2 linked regions of the Arabidopsis thaliana genome follow. The protein of the gene in region 1 purifies or fractionates together with the protein of each later gene. This does not show direct contact. Each region holds a gene or a part of one and is shown in the gene's direction. Other genes may lie near its edges. The genes, in order: Tic32-IVa and Tic22-III.

What was found.
Region 2: the proteins of Tic32-IVa (region 1) and Tic22-III purify together in Arabidopsis thaliana (affinity purification with western blotting, with the first as the bait; one study listed by BioGRID). This does not show direct contact.

What each region holds. Positions count from the first base shown.
Region 1 is NC_003075.7:12,227,233-12,232,439, forward strand, and holds Tic32-IVa (NAD(P)-binding Rossmann-fold superfamily protein), read left to right. Parts: upstream 1-1,670; 5' UTR 1,671-1,938; coding exon 1,939-2,044; intron 2,045-2,789; coding exon 2,790-3,021; intron 3,022-3,097; coding exon 3,098-3,177; intron 3,178-3,294; coding exon 3,295-3,448; intron 3,449-3,522; coding exon 3,523-3,601; intron 3,602-3,685; coding exon 3,686-3,773; intron 3,774-3,889; coding exon 3,890-3,936; intron 3,937-4,078; coding exon 4,079-4,261; 3' UTR 4,262-4,486; downstream 4,487-5,207. Other genes in the region: AT4G23420 (NAD(P)-binding Rossmann-fold superfamily protein), read left to right, coding at 1-64, 148-227, 328-481, 572-650, 741-828, 952-998, 1,166-1,330. UniProt on the Arabidopsis thaliana protein: Involved in protein precursor import into chloroplasts. Part of the redox regulon consisting of TIC32, TIC 55 and TIC62.
Region 2 is NC_003074.8:8,531,785-8,537,186, forward strand, and holds Tic22-III (Tic22-like family protein), read left to right. Parts: upstream 1-2,063; 5' UTR 2,064-2,276; coding exon 2,277-2,828; intron 2,829-2,915; coding exon 2,916-2,990; intron 2,991-3,587; coding exon 3,588-3,644; intron 3,645-3,841; coding exon 3,842-3,901; coding exon of another isoform or gene 3,902-3,910; exon of another isoform or gene 3,911-3,989; coding exon 3,990-4,070; intron 4,071-4,161; coding exon 4,162-4,197; intron 4,198-4,283; coding exon 4,284-4,364; 3' UTR 4,365-4,757; downstream 4,758-5,402. Other genes in the region: AT3G23700 (Nucleic acid-binding proteins superfamily), read right to left, coding at 72-122, 207-285, 573-676, 757-838, 920-1,040, 1,132-1,291, 1,364-1,425, 1,523-1,958; SCRL13 (SCR-like 13), read left to right, coding at 5,066-5,132, 5,269-5,402. UniProt on the Arabidopsis thaliana protein: Involved in protein precursor import into chloroplasts.

The sequences.
Region 1 (5,207 bases):
TGGAATCTGTCAGGAAATTTGCATCTGAGTACAAATCTGCTGGTCTTCCACTCAACCTCTTGATGTAAGCTATTGAAATATCGTGGTTCATCTATAGCCGTTTGGATTTATTGACGTTTATGTTTTGACTTGTCTCAATTTTGTAAGCAACAATGCCGGGATTATGGCATGTCCTTTTATGCTCTCTAAGGACAACATCGAGCTGCAATTCGCAACCAACCATTTAGGTGAGTATGATAACCAAACCAACATTATGGCTTTGTCCTACATTTTATATAATTAGTTTCTAATCAGTGCAACGGTTTTTGTAATCCAAATACATTTCAGGACATTTTCTGCTTACCAAACTTCTGTTAGATACAATGAAGAACACATCACGTGAAAGCAAAAGAGAAGGAAGGATTGTTAACGTATCATCAGAAGCTCATCGTTACTCGTACCCAGAAGGAGTCCGCTTTGATAAGATCAACGACGAGTCAAGGTACTAATGGTGAACCAAATAGTATAATTCTCCGATCCCATCTTTTCTTCTAAAGCCAACATTCTTCCTTGATTTGGTCTCCACATGCAGTTACAGTAGTATACGTGCTTATGGACAATCTAAACTCTGCAATGTATTGCACGCCAACGAGCTTGCAAAGCAACTGAAGGTAAACTACACTAAACAAAGCAAAGATATAGCAAATCAAGAATCTATGTTTCCATGGTTATCTTCAATTCTGGTATATGATTAAAAACAGGAAGATGGAGTCAATATAACAGCAAATTCACTTCATCCAGGAGCCATTATGACAAATCTATGGGGCTACTTCAACTCCTATTTGGCTGGTAACTTCTTTTCTCGGATTCAACTCTCATCACTCCATGTTTCATAAGGTTACACTCAAAGTAAACAAACGCATACATATATTTTGAGTCTCTTCTGATCTCTCTGTCACCGGCTTAATGCAGGAGCTGTTGGTGCAGTGGCTAAATATATGGTCAAGTCTGTTCCGCAGGTATGCATCTAATTTCTGAACCTCACACTAATAACCAATCACTTGCAAACTTGTCACTAGGTTTCTCAGCTTAAGTAGGAGAGAATGATACAGCAGTCTAGCTTTACGGATTGATTTGGTTTTTGTTGGTAATCTGGTTTATAATGTCTGAGTATTCGACTTGGTAGGGGGCGGCAACAACTTGCTATGTGGCATTGAATCCACAGGTTGCAGGAGTTACAGGGGAATACTTCTCAGATAGCAACATTGCTAAACCAATAGAACTTGTCAAAGATACAGAATTGGCGAAGAAGCTTTGGGATTTCAGCACTAAGCTTACTGATTCGCAATGATGATTACCGTTGCAGTAGATAGTTGTTCAGGGAACCTTTACTTTCGATGTCTCTATTGTGACAATACTTATTTCAGTCTTTATTGATACAAAATAAAATGTAAAAAACAAATCTGAAATCATTTCCATTTCAATTCTGCAAAAAGATGGTTTATCCAATTTCAGCCTAAACAAAAGTGTTACTTATCTGTTTTCTCATTGACTCAAAACAGTTGTCTAGTGAACTAACTCGTAGACATAAGTAAGTAAGAAACCAAACAGAAAGAGCTTAAAACATCTTCTGATTTTGGAGTTAACTCATGTTATTGGTGGGAGCTATTTTAAGGACATTTGTTAAATCCTTTAAAAAGAAAGTTGTTAATAAATCCCCATCATTTGACTTTGGAGATGCACTATTCTACACTTCAACCTCAACCTCGTGAGACATGAGGATTAAAGTAAAGTAATCACATTTCTGTCACATATGAACAAATAAAGTTATTTAAATCAGAATAAAAGCGAAATCGCTTGACCACTCAAGAAGAGAAAAACGCTAACAAGTCCCATAGTTTGTGTTTATTGGACTTCTTTCCTCTCATCTTCTCCAGCAGAAACAAAAAAAGCTGAAAGATGTGGTTTTTTGGATCGAAAGGAGCATCTGGATTCTCGTCTCGTTCAACTGCAGAGGAAGTCACACATGGTGTTGATGGGACTGGTCTCACTGCCATAGTCACAGGTTTTCTTCTATCAACACTTTCATGCCATTTTGCGACATGGGGTTGTCTAAAGTTGTAGACTTTTTTTCTTATAATTTCCAGAACTTTTGTCCTCTCTGATTCTGTCTTCGAATTGATTTCATATCTAGTAAAAAGACTTGACTTTTATTGTTTAGACAATTGGAATTTAAGGTTTTTATCATCAGGGTCTGTCTTTGATTCGGTCAACTCTAATAAATATTGAGGTCATCACTGTTTCTTGTTCGAAAGTTGTCTTTTTTTTCAAGAATTTGGATTGAAAATTCCATGTTTGGTGAATTTTAAAGTACAACAAGTTTGGGACCATATGTATAATTGCATGTTAAGGGAAAATAACTCGTCTCTGTTTCAGCTGCTTGTAAGTTGTGTTATATATCACAACTCTATACAATTCCTGGCCAAGGGAAGAAAAAATACAGATTTGCTTGTAGAAATCGTTTCTATATTTTGATCATATTACATTAGGGCCTGAAACAAGAACAATGGAGTCCTTGAATTGATAGAACCCTGTTAGGTGACACTAAAGACTTGCACATACATATTTGAGTGTAGCATCGATTGGGCAAACCCTGAGTCAGCCTAATAGCCTATCAGGGTTTGAAAAGGCTTGGAAGAGCTTAACTGATCATTGGTTGATACAACTTTAAAAAGTAGTCTAGCCTGCATTGAGTTTTCTGGACATGTTTGGTTCCTTAAGTTTTCTTGTCTTTGTGTTCATATTTTCAGGAGCATCAAGTGGTATAGGAGTAGAGACAGCGCGTGTTCTTTCACTGCGTGGTGTGCATGTGGTTATGGCGGTGAGGAACACTGACTCTGGTGCTAAAGTTAAGGAAGATATTGTCAAGCAAGTCCCTGGAGCTAAACTCGATGTCATGGAGTTAGATCTCAGCTCAATGCAATCTGTCAGGAAATTTGCGTCTGAGTACAAATCTACTGGTCTTCCACTCAACCTCTTGATGTAAGCTATTGAATACTGTATATAGCGGTTTTGATTTATTGATGGTTAATGTTTTGAATTGTCTTAATCTTGTAAGCAACAATGCCGGGATTATGGCATGTCCTTTTATGCTCTCTAAGGACAACATCGAGCTGCAATTCGCAACCAATCATTTAGGTGAGTAGGAGAAGTAAACCAACATTATGTGGCTTTGTTCTAAAGTTATATACTTAAGTTAACATCATCATTAGTTTTTAGTCAGTGGCATGGAATTTGTGATCCACTTTATTTCAGGTCATTTTCTGTTGACTAAACTTCTGCTAGATACAATGAAGAGCACATCACGTGAAAGCAAACGAGAAGGAAGAATTGTTAACCTATCATCAGAAGCTCATCGGTTCTCGTATCCAGAAGGAGTTCGTTTTGATAAGATCAATGACAAGTCAAGGTACTAATGGTGAACCAAATAGTAATTCTTCTATCAAAATCTAACATTCTTCCTTGGTTTGGTCTCCGTTGCAGTTACAGTAGTATGCGAGCTTATGGACAATCTAAACTCTGCAATGTGTTGCACGCCAACGAGCTTACAAAGCAACTGAAGGTAACTAGAAAAACAAGAGATCTATCAAATCAAAATCTATGTTTCCATGGTTATATTGATTCAAATCTGGTATGAATAAAATAGGAAGATGGAGTCAATATAACAGCAAATTCGCTTCATCCAGGAGCCATTATGACTAACCTCGGGCGCTACTTCAACCCCTATTTGGCTGGTAACTTCTTTTCTCTTATTCCACTATCATCACCCCATACTTCACAAGGTTACACACAAGTAAACAAACGCATACATATACTTCTTCTGATCCTCTCTGGCATTGGCTTGATGCAGTAGCGGTTGGTGCAGTGGCTAAATATATACTCAAGTCTGTTCCACAGGTATGCTTCTAATTTCGAAGCCTCACACTGGTAACCAATCACTTACAAACTGGTCACAAGGTTTCTCAGATCTTGCTTAAAGGATAAAACTTGGTTTTGTTCCGTTATGTGGTTTATAATGTCTGAGTATACGACTTTGTAGGGAGCGGCAACAACTTGCTATGTGGCATTGAATCCTCAAGTTGCAGGAGTTTCAGGGGAATACTTCCAAGATAGCAACATTGCTAAACCATTACCACTTGTCAAAGATACAGAATTGGCCAAGAAGGTTTGGGATTTCAGCACCAAGCTTACCGATTCACAATCAGGAGAAAGCAGTTCTTGAAAGTAAATGATGTTCAGTGAATCTTTACTAATGGTTTCATGTTTCAACGTCTCTTATCTCTACTGTGACAATACTTATTTCAGTCTTTATCAAAGGAAATAAAAACGTATAACAAATCTGCAATAAGATGGTTTATTCTGACCGGTTTAGTTCTAAACCTTCACCAAACACTTATCAGAAGAAAATGTAAAAAAGCTTTGTAATCAAGTATCAGAAGATTTTAAAGACAACTTTCGAATTCAAAAAGAAGAAGAAGCCACGAGGAGACAATACTGTCAATGCATTATTAAAGTGATGGTCAGAAATGAAAATAAAAATCAATGATGATAGTTTTCTAGTTTAAACTCACTTTATTAATGGTTTCATTAGGAAGGTTAAGTAATTAATTAATCTTTGTGATTGGAATTTGGATCATAACGTGCAAATTGTCGATATAGAGTGTTATAGATAGGCTCTGTATTTAATTCATTTCATACCCTCTATATATAATTGTCGGTCGTTAGATGGCATTTGTTTTTATATTTATTTGATTTGGACCAAACAATGCTATTAATGATATGCATTGTATAAATTTCAAACTATAACGAGAGCAAATTTCAATGTAGGTTTAGGACTATATATGTTGATATTTAACAAAAAAGAAAAATTCATCTTAGGGTGATAAGATTGATCACTAAAGATTATTGAAATGTGGCCAAGTACTAGAGTACTACTATTTGTGACTATTTTACAATTGTTCACAATCATATCTATTGTACGTACAAACTATTTGCAGAAAAATCACATGCTCCAATATGAGATATTGTGTGTATGGATGTGGATACCTCAAATTAACTCGTAAAAATGTATGGACCTAATATAGTATATAATACGATACTAAAGATTTTTGTTCATTTTACTGTTGTTGATAGACTTACACTATGATGAGCAACAAAGGACTGAAATT
Region 2 (5,402 bases), on another chromosome or scaffold:
TATTTTACTTAAAATCAAACCAAGAATCTCTCTATCTATGGCCATATAAATGGGTAGCTTCTGAGATTTACCTGTCTTCCAGCACGGGCAAGAAGAACAAACTTCCCATCAGAAGGCGGTGTCTGCGTGTGAACATGCGCATAGAATCAGAATTTTCACAGAGCAGAGTTTATTCTTACGGGAAAGTAAAGAGAAACAGAACTCACATTTGAGAGCCAAAGTTGTAGGTCTTGTGAAACCACTCTTTTCTCAAATCCTTGCCGGTTGATTTTCACAGCTTCTATTCTGCAATATAGAAATGAATATTAGTTACACACTGGAACCAAAATGTTATGCCTGAAACATAGATTCTATAAGTAATGCAATTAACAATATCCAACTCATCATGGGTTCAGAAAAAGTATCAGCCAGCAATAGCTATTGACATGTATATATTCAATCGCAAATCGAGGAGTGAACAAATCTAGTAGAGTAGAGGTGATCCTAGTCACTTATAATAAGCAGATATTATGCAAAGAGCTGACTAGGACTGCATAGTAAATTTAAATTATAAAATGATATTGTCTATATACCCATCTTCCTTTAAAAGCTCTTCAAGTATTGTTTCTAGCCCTGGAAGAGGTTCAATTGTATCCCCATTGTTCGAGCTTAGCGAAGGAGATCCAGTAGAACTGTCCTGTAACAATATTCAATTATCTATTAAAAATCACTAAGACCCACAAGAGACAGAAAACACATTCATTCACATTGTTTTACCTTCAAAATCACTTTGTCTAATGTTTCTAGAAGAGGATCATCTTCTAGTTGTTTGATGGATAGTGTAATCCTTGATTTCTCTCTGCATTGGAACAACTTTTGATTAAAAACTATATCATGAGTCATGGCTAATAAATTTCAGTAACCAAAATAAGCAACTCACTTGTCAATATTCGTGACTATAACCCGAACCTCGTCACCATCGCGTAGTACATCCCTAACATCTTGAACGTAATCCCATGATACTTCGGAGACATGCACTAGTCCAGTTAAATGATAAAGACCTATACACCACCACCCCACATAACTGACATCAATGTCATAAGCTCAAAACAAGAAAAAGAAACCAAGAAATTTAGGTAAAAGCAAATATACCATCATCAAAACGCAAGTGGATAAAGGCACCATAGTCCTCAACAGAACCTACTCTTCCGTTAAACACATCCCCAACATTAACGTTTTGTGAATACTTTGGCCATAATGCTAACTTCTCAGATAAAATCAACTTTCTATTTTCCTCATCAGCTTGAACAACCTAATATAAAGATTTACCTCAAATTATAAACAATATAGAGATCACAAAACAAGCCAAAGGAGAAAACTTTACCTTTACAGGAAGTTTAGAACCAACCAAAGTCTTAGCTATCTCATGAATACTTTTCTGAGGCTCTTCATAAAGCAAAACACAAACCATCGATCAATGTAAAAATCGATACTTTAAGGACATAAACATAGAACCTTGTGAAGAAGAGAGAGTTTTGGTTACCTTTACAAGAACGGGAAGGACTTAATTGTGGATAAGGAAGAAAACCCACAAGAGAATGAAAACGAATAAGTAAGCCACCACCATTAAAGCCTTGAACTTCACCTTCAAATGTATCACCACTTTTACAATAAGCTTTTGCTGTTTTCCAATCGCTTGGTCCTGCAGCTGAAGCTTCGTCGGAGGTATCACGGAGAAGAGAATTGGAAGCGGAGAGGACTGAGGAAGAGGCTGATTGATCGGAGTTTCTATCGGTATCTGCTGTGGCGGAGCTTGAGAAGGATTTGACTATGCAGACGAGAGAGTTTCTATTGGAAGAAGAAGAAGACGAGGAAGGAAGGAGTCTAAGTGGGCAAGAGAGGAAAGTGGATTGTTGGTCGAAGAGATGAGAGGCGAATGAAACAGAACCTAAAGTAGTAGCGCCACTAAAAACCGCCATTGTTGCGCGGTAGAGCAAAAAAGCCACGGAGATTGAAGGTAATGATGGTTAATGGATTTTGCCATTTTGGATAAGAAAGTGAGAGACTGGAGATGAAGGTGACGTGGCATTTGTCAGCTCACAGGTGCTATATTTTAAAACATATAGGATCAATTTGTAAACATTGGATAATTAGAGGGTTTCTTTACAAAAACAATTCTAATTCAAGCAAAGAGATCAAATCTTTTTCCTCAGTGTCGTCGTCTTCTTCGCAAAGCCTTTCAAAAACCCTTCACTACTCTTTCTCAGAGTCTCAAGCATCATTTTCCCGAGAAAACTATGAATTCAAACATTTTCCCACCATCGAAACAACAAAACGAGCTTAATAATATACAACAATCCTTCTCAAATCTCCAATCTCAATGCTCCAATTTACTCCTCAACGTTTCACAAACCCTTAATCCTCTCTTCAACGCCAACACGAACAACAACAAACCTAATATATTCTCTGCTCTCAATTCGTTTCGTGATCAAGCTAAGCAAGCTTTAGATTCTAGAATCTCTCGATTCAATTCTGGTAAGGCACCTGTCTGGGCGAGAATTTCTGACGACGGTGGTGGTGCGAGGGCTCAGGTGACGGTTCCGATTCGCGGAAGCGGGAAAGGATTATCTGCTGATGCTATTGAGGAGAGATTGGCGGGAGTTCCTGTTTACGCGTTGAGTAATTCGAATGAGGAGTTTGTGTTGGTTTCAGGGACTTCCTCTGGGAAATCTCTGGGTTTGTTGTTTTGTAAAGAGGAAGATGCAGAGACTCTTCTTAAAGAGATGAAGAGTATGGATCCTCGTATGAGGAAAGAAGGTTCAAAAGTTGTTGCTCTTGCTCTTAGCAAGGTATAAGGAGGAATCAATAACTCAATTAGCTCCTTTAGTATTCTTCTGTTTAGTGGTTTTGATTTTTGTGTGTGTTGTTTGTTGCAGGTGTTCCAGTTAAAAGTTAATGGTGTGGCATTTAGGTTGATTCCTGAGTCTACTCAAGTGAAAAATGCCTTGAAGGTGAGTTGATTTTACGATCGAACATATCTTTGGATACTCAAAAACTTTTCTTTTTGTCACGGTAGGCGTTAGACCTGCTGAATATGACTGTCATCATTCATTAACGAGGAGCTTTTGTGTTAATTTAGTTCAGGGGCATTTTGATTACTTCAGTGGTTTATTGTAGCTCTGTTTCAGCGACTATAGATAAGTCAGTTAGTTAGAGAGGTAACTGATTAGAAGGAAGTTGATGCAGATGGAGAAGGGATTCTGGATTGGTCTAGCATTGGTTTGGGCTTAGGAGAGTTGAGGGTGCTTTAGAATTCATCATTGGTGCTTTGATTTGGTTTGTTCTCAGTTCTGTATGTGGATTCAGAGAGTGAGTAAATAAAGAGAGAATACCTTTTCTGCGTCAACAGTTGGTTTTCTTTAGGAGTACACTAATTGCATTCAGTTTTGGTACATTTTTACTCAAAGGTGGTCGGGTTAATTTGCAGGGTATAGGTCTTATGGATGTAATCCTTCCTAGATGTACGATTATGTTTCTGAAAACAGACTGTAGCATTTGGTTAGACACAGTACAAGTAAATTATATATCTCTTCTATATGTGTATACAGGAAAGGAAAACAGCTGGTATCGATGATGATGACTTCCATGGTGTTCCGGTTTTCCAGGTAATATGCGAAAGAACCAATACTTTTAATGGTTGTGACTAGCTTTTTCGTTTTTACTCTATCTAGTGGTCTGTAATATAGTTTCGGATATTTATCTACCATGGAATCGTAATAATCATTATTTCTTCCTTAAAATGGTCGAGACATGTTTTCCTTAATGTCCAATTTTCTTAACGATCTGACTTGTGTTGTCTCAGTCAAAGAGCTTGATTCTACGAAGTGAAAACATGAGTTATCGCCCTGTTTTCTTTAGAAAGGTTAGTTAAACTAACAAGACACAGTTCACCTTTGTCCATACACTGATTACATGATCGGCAAGCTTGAGTCTTGGTTGAGTTTTGACAGGAGGACTTGGAAAAATCTCTAATACGAGCGTCCAGCCAACAGAACCGACTTAACCCTGCTCTGAAACCAGGCGATATTCAGGTTCCTTGTTATTTAACTTTAGTCTCCCTATTTCTTGTCAATCCATAATTCTGTCATCTCATATTGAAATTCATGATTTTGTATTCCAAAGGTTGCAGTTTTCGAAGATATTGTCAAGGGAATGAGGGTAAACAATCAAACATGATTCTGTAATGCATTTTCCTTTAAGAATGATTGGTTTTGCTGAACCTGTTTTCCCGGGCGAAATTGCAGGAAAGCACGACGTCAAACTGGGACGACATTGTGTTTATACCGCCTGGTTTTGAGGTTTCAACTGAGCAAACACAGGAGTAAGTGAAATCCTTGGAGCATCGTAAAACCTCAACACAATGCTTCTCCCTTTTCATATTCCTATCTCATCATTCAACAACTTGATGAACACAGCGAGTTGGAAATAGCGTTGATGATGTTAACTCCATTAACATCCTTCTCCAATCTCTGCTTTTTCTATGTCATCTTATGAGTTTTTTAGTGACATCTTCGCTTTATGTTTACTATTAGTACTAGAAGAGTAGCTTGTACTAATAGTCTAATATTACTGTCATGTCTTAACATTTAAGTTAATTTTTGTTAATTTGCATCCGTGACCTAAGTGGGAAAGTGGGAAACTATGCGTCAACTTTTGAAAAATTGTGATTGACTAGATTTACCTATCAATATCTTAACAAGGTCCATGTAAAAATCGTGCAAACCCGCATTTGATTAATCATCTCTCGTATTTTTCCATGATTTGTATATATTGACATGTTCAATTCGAAAATCCTACATATCAGCCGCAACTCGTATATTAAACTACGATTTTGTCTATTTTGTTGACCAATAAATTTTACTTATTTGAAATTTATTATTCTAATTTAATATGAAAATCTATTTTTAGTGTATATCATTTATATATAATCATAGTTTTAGACAAAAATATATTTACTTATTTCAGCTCAAAAAAATACTAAAAGTTTCTGCATAAAAAAACTACTTTTGATTCAATTTTTGGTGTCATGAGGTGTGTTACCTCGTTTGTAGTTTTGTGTATTCTCATGTTCCTTGTGGTAAACAATGTTAAAGGTAATACTATTAATTTTCTTATAATTTTTTTATATATTAGGAGTTATGCAAATATTGATTATTCCTATCAAACTTTGAAATTCTTTGTTTATCAGTATAGTTTAGTTAAATATTTATCTGTGGTTTTTTGAAACAGTAGATGTGAAAGCACAACGAAGGAAACCTGTTTGTAAATTGACTGGTGTCCTAAACCCTGGAAAATGTCCCACAGCTATACATGATGCAAGCAACTTGTGTAGTCGCAAATTGGCTTCACCTAATATGACATTT